Linked DNA regions of Lepisosteus oculatus. The protein of the gene in region 2 purifies or fractionates together with the protein of the main gene of each other region. This does not show direct contact. Links are inferred from orthologs where the notes say so. Each region holds a gene or a part of one and is shown on either strand. Other genes may lie near its edges.

Evidence for each region. The genes of interacting proteins can lie anywhere in the genome.
Region 1: the proteins of cd9b (region 2) and integrin beta-1 purify together in Homo sapiens (co-immunoprecipitation; 5 studies listed by BioGRID and IntAct, with this or other methods). This does not show direct contact. The link is inferred for Lepisosteus oculatus from reciprocal best matches to the Homo sapiens genes CD9 and ITGB1.

What each region holds. Positions count from the first base shown.
Region 1 is NC_090701.1:39,147,101-39,154,812, forward strand, and holds the start of integrin beta-1, read left to right. Parts: upstream 1-4,644; 5' UTR 4,645-5,000; coding exon 5,001-5,012; intron 5,013-5,270; exon of another isoform or gene 5,271-5,365; intron 5,366-7,712.
Region 2 is NC_090702.1:4,148,045-4,155,287, forward strand, and holds the start of cd9b (CD9 antigen), read left to right. Parts: upstream 1-4,181; 5' UTR 4,182-4,316; coding exon 4,317-4,382; intron 4,383-7,243. UniProt on the Homo sapiens protein: Integral membrane protein associated with integrins, which regulates different processes, such as sperm-egg fusion, platelet activation and aggregation, and cell adhesion.

The sequences.
Region 1 (7,712 bases), on a different chromosome or scaffold from region 2:
GATTCCTGCATCGTCTACACTGAAATAGACACTGAAATATAAATCTAGCTATTGCTTGATGTCAGCTACAAAAACATCTTTCATGTCCTACTGTGAGTTCTAAAGCCCTAATTACTGTATGTCTGTTATTTATCTTTCCCTTCAATCATGTTACCTTGTTGAACATCTATTCTACTCATTCTGCAACTTGAGCGGAGCTGTAATTCTTATTTTCTTATTTCAAAAGGTTGTGTACTAACATTTGGTGTTAATATTACTCAGTCTCTACATAGAGAAATCTATGTATTTTACCTCTTCACTATAAAAAGGGTCAGAAAATGCCATTCATGGTTAAATTAAGTGGAAACGTAACAGTATCACATGTGCTTGGATGAACAAAATAATATATATTGATGGAAAAAAGAAACGCAACATTTTGTGGAATGAGAATACTAAAGTTATAGTTTATGTACTTTCACAAAAAGGTGTCAATTTGTTTTAAGCCCTCTGACCAGCAATACAGCTTGTGCAGTGAGGCGTTGCAACTTGCCAATCACACAAAAGCTCGTTAGGAGTATTTTTACCCAACGAGGTCCACGTGGAACAATGCCTGATCAGGTCACCTTGAAAAAGGCATTAATTCAAAGCTTAGGTCACTGCAAGAAAAAGGCCACACTTAGTCAGTTTTCTGTGCATTCAATAAAGCCTCGAATGTCACCAGAAGCAAGGGAGAGGGCCATTGGCATGCTGCAGGCAGGCATGTCATGTGCCAGCGTTGCCAGACACCATGGAGTAAGCCGCTCCACTGTGTCCCGACTGCAGAGAAGGTTTCAGCAGACCAGGAGGACAGATGACAGTCCAAGACCTGGTCGCCCTCGAGTGACCACGCCAGAGCAGGACCGATACATCAGACTGGTCCATCTGAGAGATTGTTTCAGATCTGCAAACCGTACTGCTGCTGAAACTGCCGGCAGACACAATGCCCGCATCAATGACAGGGCAGTGAGGCTCCATGCTGCTTAGATCAAGGCAACCTGTCAGAGGCCCTCCGCTCACACCTCCTAGACATCACACCCGACTGGCTTGGGCCAGACAGAGGCTGCAACGGACTTGTCAGCAGCGGCATCAGGTCCTCTTCATGGATGAGCCACTCTTCAGTCTGTTCCACGCAGACGGGAGGGCCAGAGTGTAGAGGAGGAGGTGTTGCATTTCTTTTTTCCATCAGTATATAGTTCTCTACTCTTAATTATCTGTACTGCACAATTTGAGTAAGCTACAGAGCCAGCATCTGAAATTCGTATTTTTCCGAGGTATGTTTTATACATGTGTAATATTGTGAAATGCCAATGTGTCTCCAATGTCAAGAGAAAACAAGGTACTATCCAAAAACTGCTCAGAGCAATAAACTATAATAATCTTATAAAAGCTTCTTCAACCTTCACTAGTAGAATTCAGGTGGGAGCTAAAGCTGTCTCATCAGACTATACTAATAGAATTCAGATAGCAGCTAGAAGTACTTCATCGGACCACACCAATGGAATCCAGCTGTACTGCAGCTGCTTTATCTGACAGCACAGTTAGAATTTGACAGAATTAGGGTAAGGTAAATAAACACAGCCCAGGTAGTCAAAGAACAGTTAACCTGGGCAACAAATGAACCACAGAAGACAAAAATAAAATGTAAACCACATGTAATATTACAAAAATGACATAACCAGATGTGGAATCATCATTATCATCAGCATTAAATTCCAGAAAAGTTCTGGTTTGTTGCTACTGATTACTTTTTAATGTTTTGCAACATGTGAAGTTGTGTTTGTAATGAGAAGAAAGGGATTCATTTGTGATGACATGCAACTCCTGTCACACTGACTTTGTGCCAGTTGTAAATAAGCAATGGAGACAATATACAGTAGTCTAGAAGGGTCAAACTGATCATAATGTGTTTTGAAGCATGCAATTGATTTCCACCCAAATTATATCACTATTAAAGTGTTCACACAAGAAAATGTTATTTGCTTGAAGATAATTCCATGCTAGCATGCTTCATACTAACAAGGGGGGCATCTATGATGTCCTGAGAGCTTGAAGTAAAAGTGTTAGGAAATACATCTGTACTGTATTACAAAAGCACAAAGAATTTGGTTTTAGGGGAGGAACAGAGGAATGAGACTGAGAACAGCAATTCAAAAGTATGTGCAGAACAAATAAAAGATTAGTCCACACTGATGAGTAGAAAGAAGAAACACAACATTTCAGCAGTTGAGCCTTCTCCAGCCTTCTCCTTCACACATGAAGAAGGCGAAACATGAAGATGAACCATTGTGTTTTGTCTGAATTAGTTCACTAACTAGAACTGAATTGAGATTACTGACATAATTGAGGAAAACTGGGGCTCCAAATACTGATCCCTGAGGTACTCCAATTGGAGCATTTACCAATTAGCTCTAATCTCTGTTTCCTGCCTATTCACCAGTTCTTACTCAAAGTACATGCATTACCTTGAATCTTTGTCATATGCAATTTAAGAATTTATCTTTTATGATCGTTTTCGACAACCTTCTGAAATTACAAATGGATGATACCATAAGCTCAGTTTCTATCCATTATTGCTGTTGCGCTTCATAAGAAAGGGTTTCTAAGAAAGCAACATCTTGTAAGTTAGTCTTTTGCATTCTGGAGAATGGACAATTTTCACCAGACTAAAAAAAAAGGTTGCTATATAAACAATTATGGGCGAGGCAGAAGTAGGAAGAACAAAGATATCAACATCAAATATCTCATTTTAAAGGAAACAGTGAAGAGGGATTTTTAAGATATGAATTGCAATTGAAACTTAAGATAAAGAATCACAACATTTCTAGAATGAGAACTGTTATACAAGTAGGTCAAAATGGAAAAACAAAATGCCTTAATGTTTACACTTCTTAGTTCCAAGAGTATACAGTATGAATGGAGAAATCTATTGTACTATGCTGGGTATAGAGTATACACTACAATATAGATGTTCTAAAGTTCATGTCTTGGGTTCTTTTCCCGGTGAATAAATAAGAAACACACTGACATACACAGTAAAGGAACAAGTAAAGGTTTATTCCACGCTGAAAAGAGAAGAAAAGAAACACAACAAAGCACTGCAAAAGGTAAAACGTATCACAATTTGTGACACTGTTTTGACTTACGAGAGTACGAGTAAAACATATTGTAACCAGAATAAATGAATATGGTTTTGGAGTCTTTTTTTTCTCTTTATGGAAGAATTGCTGCTTGCTAACATGATCTTATAAGATTTCAAAAGCGAAGCAGGGTTGGGTTTGCTCAGTATTAGGATGGAAAACGACCTCTAGGGAACAAAAGGACACTCATAGCCCGGTGGGCAGTTCTGTTCCTTGAGCAACAGAATTTCCTATCCAATGCTTCTGTGTGGCCACTGTGCTGAAGGAAGTATCATCCTTAGGGAGAGATGTTAAACTGAGCTCCTGACTTCTTGATCATTAAAGATCAAATGGCACACTGAGTGAGACTTCTTCATCAGCTGTGTAGTGGGACTGCTAACACATAATGGCTGCCATGAGTCAACATGAGCACTGCACTGCAGTGGTAGATGAAACTCTCCTCTCTCATCCTAGCGTTAATCCCGCATCAGCAGGGTCCGCTTGTTGGCACCCCTGTCTCCATTTGGTGGTTTGAACCTAATCTTTGAGCTGACGTTGCCGTTAAATGCGACCGAGAATACTCCAACCGGCGCGTCGCTCTGCCTGCCGTCAGAGGGGGGAGGAGAACAAAGTAATGTAGCCAATTCATAGAGGGGGATTATTAGGAGACATGGGGAATTTGGCCAGGACGCCGGGGTTACACCCCTACTCTTCTCGAGAAACACCCTGGGATTTTTAATGACCACAGAGAGTAAGGACCTCGGTTTTACATCTCAACCGAAAGACGGCGCTTATTTACAGTATAGTGTCCCCGTCACTATACTGGGGCATTAGGACCCATATGGACTGCAGGGTGAGCGCCCCCTGCTGGCCTCGCAGTGGTAGATTAAACTGTTGCCCTCAAATATGTAAACATAGATAATACTTTATTAATCCCATAGGAAAATTGATGAAATTGATTAAACATACTCTTTTGGGAAAAAACACATACAAAAGTAAGGAGTTCTTATTAGAAAACGTGTTTGCTTTGAATTACAACAAAACCTATATTTCCAAGAATATTAAGAAGTGCAAGATTGGTATACAGCATGGTGTGTCATATTCCGATTGATCACTCTCACTGTTGCTTTATCTTTTATTTGTTGCTTTATTGGTTTGGAGGACCAAGAAAAATCGCAAAAAATACCCAATGCAGAGTGATTAAATAAAGAAGTTAACATAATACAATAACAGATACAACACTAGGCACAGCAATTTATACGGTAACCGGATAGTGAATCTATTATTTTCACTTCATATTTTCAATCAGAATCATACCATAATGATGTAAGAGCAACTGAACTGAGGTTATGCGCATTTACAGCTACAATGAAATGCAGAATTTTGGCTGTTACATGCGCGTACCCAGATTTCCGAGTTTTCCCAAGGACAAACCTAGCGGAGCTCATAGCGAATGCGTACAGGTCGAGCTTGTCCAACGATGACGTGTTCGGTATTTCCTGTGGGGGCGGGTCGAAATACAGAGGATGGCCTCCTCTCTTTCTTGTAATCGTGGGAGGGGGTTAGCACGGCTTTAAGGTCATTTTTCATCGTGTGGGGATTTTGTAACTTTTTTAAAAAATACAGTTTTCTTAATAACCAGATCGTGTTGTTGGGCGTAGGTAAAGAGTCTTTTCGTCTGAAGGGTGTAAAATGGAATAAGAAGACAAAGGGGACACATTTTTTGTTTGTTTGAGAAAAGTAGAGAACTAAAGCTTGTTTTTTTGTAGTAAAGGGGAGAGATCAGCTGGATATTTTTGAAAGAAGTGCGAAGGACCATCGATTCCACATATGCTGCATTAAAAACGAATGGTTTAGGTTCGTTCAATGCGTTTTAAGGTAAGGAGGTGTCAATGTCTGCTTAAAGTGCTTGTATGGATATGAGTTTTCGTCTTGTAAACTCGTAAGCCAGTGATGCATACCTGGTGTGTTATATACATATTTGCCGTGTGAATGAAAATGTCATGGTGGGTTTTATGCGGGGCTTTGTGTTGAACTCGGGCGCATGTCTGCACAAATCTTCTTGCCCTGAAGTCCTGGAATGTGATTTGTATATTTTGCGGTGGGGGTGGGCGGGTGGAAGAGCCGTAAACGCCGATTCTACGGTGGTTAAAAGTATTGTGGGATAAAACTGTGTCGTTAGTGCAATATTGCAGCTTTCCCCCCTGTGTTGTATCGACTGTCTGTATGGGGTGAGTACATCCGCTATCCGGTATCGGGGAGGCGCTGGCCCGGGCCCGCATTCCCGGCGGAGAACAGCAGGGAGAGACCAAGTCTTTCTTCGGGAGCCGATCCCCGGATAACGCCACAAAAAAAAAAAAAAGACGACAGACTGGCTTCTCGCCTCGATTCACTTCATGTTTGTAAACCCCATCAAGTGTTTTCCGCGAAGTATACGAATGAAAGATCTTGACCTGCCCTGCAGTAATAAGTTTCCAGAGGGAAACTGGGATGTGTGTTTTACATTTGCCCCTATGGACAGGGTTTTCTTTTTTTCCCCTCAAACTTGTGAAATGTCCTTTTACAGGCGTTGCTTGTTTCCCCCTCTTTTTGCGAATACATCTCGAATTAGTAAATGGTTGAAATGCAGCGTTTTACTACGTTTTTACGCGTTTTTTCTGAAAGTAATAGCCTCTGGCTACAGCTAATTTAGGGAGTGCCTCGTTAGCCAGCAACAGTGCTCCGATTGAGGTTTGAGCTTAGCTCTGCGGCTATTTTTTCAAACCTCTTATTTAGGCGATGCCAGGCGGCTGGGAGAGCACAAAGGAGATGGCGCGTCCGGACGGCCCAAGGAGCAGGCTCTCGAGTTATTCTTGGCACTTAAAGCACTGACAAATAAGGCGAGCTGACTGTTCCGGGGGGGAAAAACACTCTCGGGAACGTACCCGTTTGAGGATACTCGAACGTGGCATTTTCGGTTTTTAATTTTAAGGGAGCGTTAGACGGAGAGGCTGGATTTTTGTATCCCACGTTTAACTCGACGCTCGGAATTTTCTGCCTTAAAAAAAGTAGAAACGCTCGCCGTAAAAGTGGTTAGATCTCACCTTTTTTATTTCGGCAGACTGACCTCATTGCGAAAACAAACGCGGTGGTTAGGAAGACATGCGGCTTAGTTAGACCACTTCCTTATCGCTGGGGTCTCAGGATCAGGGGTTTCAGTAGCTCTAAACTTCTTACTGTAGTCTTGCTGTATGTAGCACCGGTTTTGCTCCATAGAAGTCTGACCATGTGGTCAATTTTCACTTTCTCCATACCACTCAGTTAAGCTTTGTCTTCCTGAAGTTGAGGTGGAATGATCTTTGCCTTATCAGATGTGCAGAATACACATAAACCAAAGATACTTTAGTTATTTTGGTTTACTGTAAAAAAACTTTGGAACAATGACTGCCTGGGTCTTTGGCCTTAGAGGTGTAATGTCCATTGTATATACGCTTCAAAAATGGGCTCTCTTGTTTTTAAATATGACACTTTTTTCATGTTTCTGAACTCGGTATTTAATTAGGTGTTATAATATGTAATTTATCATGGCACATAGAAACACCTGGTAATCATTTAGGTAGTAGGCCGAAGATCTTCTCACTCCTGACCATAATTTGTTTTGTAATCTGGAAGCCATTTGGCCCCTCTTGCTTGTTTGGTAGTGAGTAGCTAATTTATGTGAGGGTTCTTGATATTGGCTTTAAAAGCCCGACAGGGTAGCTTTTTTTAGACTCTCACAAGCCTTGTTGTCTTATGCTGCAACATGGCCTTTCTCACAGGTTAAATTGTGTTGTTTCTGTCGTTGTTTAAATTATATACATAAGCACTGTACACTGTCGGTGTAATTCCCGACAGGATAAACTGCCGCACCGTGGCTAAGGTATTGATGTCTTTTTCCCAGCAGTTGGTTGGTTAACGAGAGTACCCGGTGATCACCTCAGGGCTAACATATTTGGGCGCCGGATGCTTGTGGTTGCAGCCACTGTGCATGAAACTGTGCCAGGCTAGGTGTGCCCCCTTGCTTATTCATTTCCAAAGTACAGCATAGCTCAAGGGTGTGTTACTCTATATGTTGCAGTAAGGCGCATCTGTAAATGATTAGCAGAACTGCGAGCTACAAGCATTTATCAAGTATCTGCAGTGCTATTTCCGAATATAAATATTGTCGCCATGTGGTTATCTTTCTCAGGAGAACATAAATAATTCATATGCTGTAGGAACAGTCATTTTCCGCAATACATTTTTTGTCCTCTGCGTCCAGACTGATATTTAGTCATATCCTAGTCCGCCTTGTTTACTGTTTGAGTGAAAGATTGAATTTATTTCCTCTTTAATGTTTATTATATATTTTTTCGGCTGACTTCTTTAAATGAAACTATTAAAAGGCAGTCTTCTGTTTTACCATTTTTGACACAATATCTTGAAGGGCATTGGTTGTCGTGAGACAGACTTTTCATAGTGCCTTTAACACAGTGAAGAAAGCAGACATTTCTTATGTTTATCTTTTGATTAGAAAGAAGGATTTAGGGGACTATGAAAGGTTATGATTTCTGTAGTAAG
Region 2 (7,243 bases):
TCAGGTTTTTTTTTTTCCCTTACAAAAGGAGGACTTGTCAGCTGCCCAAGCTGTTTCCAGGAACAAACATTCTTTTATGCAACATTAAATTAGTTTTTTTTTCCCCACAGAGCTTTTCACTAAATCATACATTTGTATGCTCGCAATATAAATGCTCTGCTTCAGGAACTTAAACAAGCTAAATCCTTATCCAGTCAAAGCTATTATCATCTGGCCTACCTTTAAATGTGACAGGATGATTTAATGCACACATGAGCCTTGTATTTGTGTCCAGCTTGTACAGTATGTCATCCAGGAGGTTTGATGGGAGATGTAGTCTTAGAATTTCCTTTTGCTGTTCCTTCAATAACCAGAACTCTCCTTTTTTCTTTCATTATTCAGGGAGGCGACAATGAAGTCCACAATATGTAGGGTCTTAGAGAAAAGCTATACAGTATATGATGTTTCATCCTATTGTGCCATCTTTAAGATTAACAACAATTAAAAAATCCAGGACTTCAGAAGAATGCACTTCTGATGGGGTTTTGTTAATGTGCATCTGGAGGAGGTCACCATACACGTTGCACATTCTGAACAATTTTGTACATTTTGAACCAGGTAGCTGATATTAATCACTGAGCATTATCCAAGGACACCCAGAAATGTCAATCTTCATTTATTTCTGCAGCTTTGTATCTGGTTTTCCATTGGAATGTGCTGCTTTAAACATCTTTTGTGCTGGCACTGTCTTAAGCTGGTAATGGAGAGGAGAATCTGAACTCTTTTGTTCTACGAATTGAAAGAGCCTTTGTTTTGTTTTGTCATGCTTTTTTGTCAAATTCTGATGTGCTGTTTAGATGCTGCACAGAAGACACAGCATCTTCCCCTTCTGAAAGATTAAAAAAATCCCTTAGCATCTGTAAAATCAATTTATTTTGCACACAGTTATGTGCTAACAATTTTCTTTAACTCATTATCAAATCTTCGTAGTTATTCCACATCAATTGGTACCTTAAACTTCATATTTACTGTACATGGGGGAAAGTATTTCTGATATGAATGTGTTGCTAGTCAATGGCATTTAAAACAAAAGCTAAAAATGTCAAACAAACCTGATATAAGGTTGTTTTAAATGAGGGGGGAGGAGTAGGCATCAGGTGGAAGATTCCACATCCTTTATTTTTCCTTCAAGACTTTAATAATAATCAATTTGGCTGATAATGTCATTCAAAGCAAATTGCATTTGTACCCACCTGTACAGCAGGAATTGTTGTTTCCTGGTGAAATACAGGTCAATAATCTTGTTCAAGAATAAATTAGTTCTGCTCTACCCAGGATTTTAACCCCAGACTTTCCCTTTCTGAATCCAGAGCCCCAAATCAGAGGAGATCCTTACAGTGGTGTCCCATTACTGACCTCTTTAATACTGCAAAGGCTAAATCATTATTGTGACACCTCTCTGCTTTAACCTGCCAATCGCAGCACTTTCTGTTTGCAGAAGAATGTCTGTACAGATGTTAGACAACTTGATGGAATGCCAGCAACTGGGAGGGCAGTACCAAACTGCGATAAAGATATCTCAGTACGGGGTGGAAACAATGGACTCCATTCTTCCAAGTGGCACAGCTCAAAGCACTACAGGTCTCGCTAATATGTGCAGTTATGCCTCAATTCAAAACTTTGGTGATTCACAGTCACATTTCTTCACCCCAGGAAGTTTTACAATCCCACATACCAGTTTTTATGGGGCAATAATTTCTTCATAAATACATATTTTCCCATATACTTTTTTCTGGTCTTTTATTAATAATAATAATTCCTTACACTTAGTGCTTTTCTGGACACTAAGAGAGCTTTACAGGTAATGGGGAATCCCACTACCACCACCAGTGTGCAGCCCCACCTTGATGATGCTCCAGTCCTCTCCCCACCCTAGCTCTCAGTGGGGAGGAGAGCAGATTGATGAAGCCAGTTCAGAGATGGGGATTATTATTAGGAGGCCTTTATTGGTAAATGCCAATGGGAAATTTGGTCAGGACGCCAGGGTAACACCCCTACTGTTTTCGAAAAATGCCCTGGGATTTCTAATAATCACAGAGAGTCAGGACCTTGGTTTTGTTTCTCATCCGAAGGATGGTGACTTTCTGCAGAATATTGTGCCCCGTCACTACACTGGGACATTACACGCAGACCGCAGGATGAGAGCCTTAGTTTTTCCCAGGGGTCTCCCATCTAGGTACTAGGCGCACACCTGCTTGCCTTTTGTGGGTTATCAGTTGTGATTTACAGGGTGATATGGCTGCTAGCCATATTTTTGTATATACAATACAAATATTTGTAAAGTATAGTTTTGTGTGGTTCATAGGTTATTGGTAAACATATCCCTTCATTCTCCTTCCTAAGATTATCACCCAACAATACCATAATCCAATGAGGGCTGTATTCTTTGTCTTGTGAATTGAATGTCTTGTGTAACCAACTGGAAAATACAATATATACTGATGGAAAAAAGAAATGCACCACCTCCTCCTCCACACTCTGGCCCTCCCATCTACGTGGAACAGGCTGAAGAGCGACTCATCCATGAAGAGGACCTGATGCCACTGCTGACAAGTCCATCGCAGCCTCTGTCTGGCCCAAGCCAGTCAGATGCGACGCCTAGGAGGTGTGAGCAGAGGGCCTCTGACAGGTCGCCTTGCTCCAAGACCAGGAGCATGGAGCCTTACTGTCCTGTCACTGATGCGGGCATTGTGTCTGCCAGTAGTTTCAGAAGCAGTATGGGTGGCAGATCTGAAACGATCTCTCAGATGGACCAGTCTGATTTGTCGGTCCTGCTCTGGTGTGGTCACTCGAGGGCGACCGGATCTTGGACAGTCATCTGTCCTCCAGGTCACCTGAGACCTTCCCTGCAGTTGGGACACAGTGGAGCAGCTTACTCCATAGTGTCTGGCAATGGTGACACATGACATGCCAGCCTGCAGCATGCCAATGTCCCTCTCCCTTGCTTCTGGTGACATTCGAGGCATTATGGAATGCACAGAAAACTGACTAAGTGTGGCCTTTTTCTTGTAGTGACCTAAGCTTTGAATCAAGGCCTTTTTAAAAGGTGACCTGATCAGGCATTGATCCACCTGGCCCTCGTTGGGTAAAAGTGCACCTAACGAGCTTTCATGTGATTGGCAATTTGCAATGCCTCACTGCAAAAGCTGTATTGCTGGTCAGAAGGCTTAAAACAAATTGACAACTTTTTGTGAAAGTACATACTATAGTATTCTCATTCCAGAAAATATTATGTTTCTTTTTTCCATCACTATATATAATTTAGAAAACAAAACGGGTTAATTGTTTAATTATATCCATCAGATTGGAACAAAAGAAGACAAGTTCACCAGAACCTGACTTTGAGAACCCTGCCTTAAAGAAAAGTTTAGGTACAGTATACAGTATAATCATGTCTTGCGAAAAGGAAGATAAACATTATTATTGTATCACTATAATTCTTCTAAGTAAAGGCCATTTTGGAAGGGACAATTCAAGACCAATTTCATCACATGGAGTACAAATCACTCTAAGAAATCTCCCCTTATTCTCTGCTTCAGCAGTAAGGCAGTACTCGAGACCAGACATGAAAAACTGCTTTCAGCTAAACAGCCACAGTACCGATCTGTGAAATCCTTCTTAGTGACCCCTAAAAAGCTCTTAACTACGTTTTCCGTCCTTTAAATTGTATCTTTACGCAGAGTTCCTCTGGTCGTAATATATTTTCGGACAGATTAACCGTGGAGTAATATTCAAACACCGTAAAGTCCATCTTTGCTTTAGTAAATGACAATCGAGCCGCATACTGTACAGATTTTACAACTATGCCTTGTCATCCCCAGTTTTGCGGAAAGATACAGTAAATGTACAGGAGACATTATTAAAGTATTCTTACAAGAGCGGAAAAGGGGGTTATGAGTTTAGGAAAAGCTCAGGCTGAACAGATGTAGTCCTTCAACACTGTCAAGACACTGAAGAACCGTTCGTCACAGAGAAAACAGTGGGCAGAACAGAAAAATAAAAGAACTTCTAACTCCTTTTTGTTCTTTGTTTTGTTTATTTCGAGAGAAATGCAATTAAAAGAAGAGGAGATAAAACGTGGGAGGCAAAAAAAAACTCGCATCGACAGCTCATTGGTCTGAGTCGAAATTCAGCTGCCTGGAGCACGCAGCGTGAGCGAGCGACGGACTAGAAAAAGCAAAACCGCAAAGAAGTTTTCTGCGCTCGAAACAAACGCTCGGCGAACTGTGTGCGTCCTGCTCTTTATGTGAAAGTTACCGGTGGAAACATCCTTAAAAATGCCAGTGGCAGGCGGAGCTAAATGCATCAAATATTTGCTGTTTGTCTTCAATTTCATTTTCTGGGTAAGTTGCCGGTTTGCTGATCTTTGGATGGAATGGAGTTAAGTTTTTCGGACTGTCCGCTCAGACAGGTCATCATACTGTAGATCTGATGGACTGGGGACGATAAGAAGCTCGCTGTTGGCACACATGGCTCTTTCTGTGTTTAGAGGAAAAACAGCAACCGCATACAAGAAGTGAGATCTGAGAGTCGCGAAAAAGATTCACACCGAATTTAGGAAAGCATCTGTGCTTATTTTGATATAGCGCTGTATTATTTTGTGTGTCTGTAAGTGAAGAGGCGTAACTTTTAAATACCTTACTGGGGACGCATAAAATGTACGCCACTGAAACTCTCATATTTAAATCGTCATTTTCCCGGAGATAGTTTTTGAACGGACGCAGTTCTTTTGTTGAAGTGAAAATGCTACAGTAAATCAGGCGGCTCCGTTATCTGGGATTAGGAGCTTGTCGCCTTCCTGTCATTTTGATCAGTAATGTGCGACACTGTGGGTTTTTTTTTAATTCCTGTTTGGCACAGAATAGTGATCGTGTGCAGTGTTCATTTCAGTGTGAATTTTTACCGTCGATTTGCAGATAGATACTGTACATCGGAGGAGGCCGAAAAGATGGGGAAATGGTGAAGTTCTGTAAAGCGTATTTTCATTAATTCGAAGGTGTTGGATTAGCATATCTCTGTAGCCATCATATCCTCTTTATTTCGTGCAGTAGTTAGTCTTATTTATAAGGCGAAATCCCTTCTCCCATTGAATGCATTTACAATACACTGTTTATCAGATAATAAAGAAACAAGTCCAGACGCCTGCTATACGATTGCTTTTAATCTGTAGGACTATAAATAGAAATTGCTAATCCCTTGAACAAATTAAGATTACAAGGCCTTCATTACTGTTGGGTGTTTCCTGTAGACAGCCATACATCTGTAGTTAAGGAGTTAAATGTGTGGTTTGACAGTGATCAAAGGCAAACGTCTAAATTCCTTTTTTCTCTGTCCAATATTTAAGCATATTGTAATACTAAAAAAAACGTGTTTAATCATCAACAACGCCATCGTTTGTTTGTTTGTTTTTTGGTTTGAATTAATCAGAGCTGCCAAAAAGGTAAAATATCAACTTCCAACAGTCAACAACAAAATCTTCAGTCTACACATTTCTCCTGTTCCTGTTAAGACCCGTGACATGACCTTTCATAGACAGATTACTCCGAGTGCAAAAGATTAAAAAAACCGATGTGGTACTGTTTGCATTGAGATCTTTCAAGTTTCGAAACTGGCTTCTCTGTATGATTTATTACAAAGAAAACCAGACACAATACTGCTGTTTTTTTTTTTGTTACAACCTAAATTGCATTAAAAATGAGGTGTATTTATTAATAGCTTCCAAGACATGAATGATCATTCGTAATCCTGATCCAGTTTATTACTATAGAGCTGTTTATTACTTGGAGAGATTAAGCACTTTACCACAATTGTGTGTATAATTCAGCTTTGTTTTGCTTTTTTAAGTGTTTTCAGATATTGAAAGTTTAGAAAGGTTTCGAAATGAGCCCCAAGATATCATACTTGGTTTCAAAACATCCTTCACATAGACATCTAGAATTTGCACTGTTGGGTTCTTGCAAGAAATAAAAAACTGTTTTTTTCTTACTTGTTTACATCATTGTTTGGTCATCTACCGAGAATTGTTTGGACAGCTCTAGTGGAACCAAAAAAAAAAAACAGACAGAGCAGTTCTATTTGCAAGGTTTCTTTTGCCGATAATACACTGTGACCACAACCAAGTAAAGAGTGAAGAAAACACTGTTAAAATCTAATCAACCAAACAGTTAAATTACTCAATAAAAATAATAATTGAAGTAAACTATGTAACAGAACATTACCACAAAAAGACGATCTTGCCAACTAACCAGGAATGGTGCCTTTTGGTTTTTTACCATCCCATATTTCCTGTATATTACCATATATTCCTATGAAACTTCACCTGGATTTCTGGGCCCACTAAGTTAAAAGAGGACTGTTTCTGTTCAATCGATTTTTTGCACCTGGGTGTCCTTCTGCGTGGAGTTTGCATGTTCTTCCTGTGTTCTTGTGGGTTTTCTCCGGGTGCTCCGGTTTCTTCCCACAGTCCAAAGACATGCTGGTAGATTAATCGTGTTCTTGAAAAACTGGCCCTGGTATGTCTGGGTGTGTCTTGCGATGGACTGGCATCCCAACCACCCCAGTAACCTTCTAACGGACAACATGGGTGAGAAAACGGATGGGATGGTTTCCTTCCGATTTATACGATGGAATAAGTAAAAAATATGCCCCGTGCTGTAGAAGGAACCGCAGACCATCTGCTAGTTGCTCATCCCTCGGTTTTGCAAATCTAATTTTGCGTAAAGAGACTTATGAATCAAAGCACGAGATGCGGGAATCTCCCTTCGGCGGTTTGCTTAGTGTTGGAACTCACAGTGCACATACAGTGGGAAAAGGTCAAGGTTGTTGTGCAAGTTGAGTTCATTTCCTTTTTGGTGCCTTTTTAGTGCCTTTCAGGACTGGTCTCAGTGTTGCATCATATGGTGTCATGGGCTCCATTACTTAAGTGTTGTCCTTGCAATCGTGGCTGATTAGCCTTCTTCTAAAGAAGCTAGTGTTGGAATGAAGCAATGTACAGTTACTCACCAAGGGAAGTTGAGTGTTTGCTGGGCCAATCATGAAATCTCCAGATCAGATGCTCTCGGCTGGGCTACATAGAGTACAAACAGCATTGTTAAAAAGTGTACAAATGAGCACGCAAAAGGTTCTGCACGTGCCGTTTGAAGTCGGGCCGATTACGAAGCAGCACTGTGGCGTGCTTTGCGAGATGGAAAAGTAAAGCACGTGG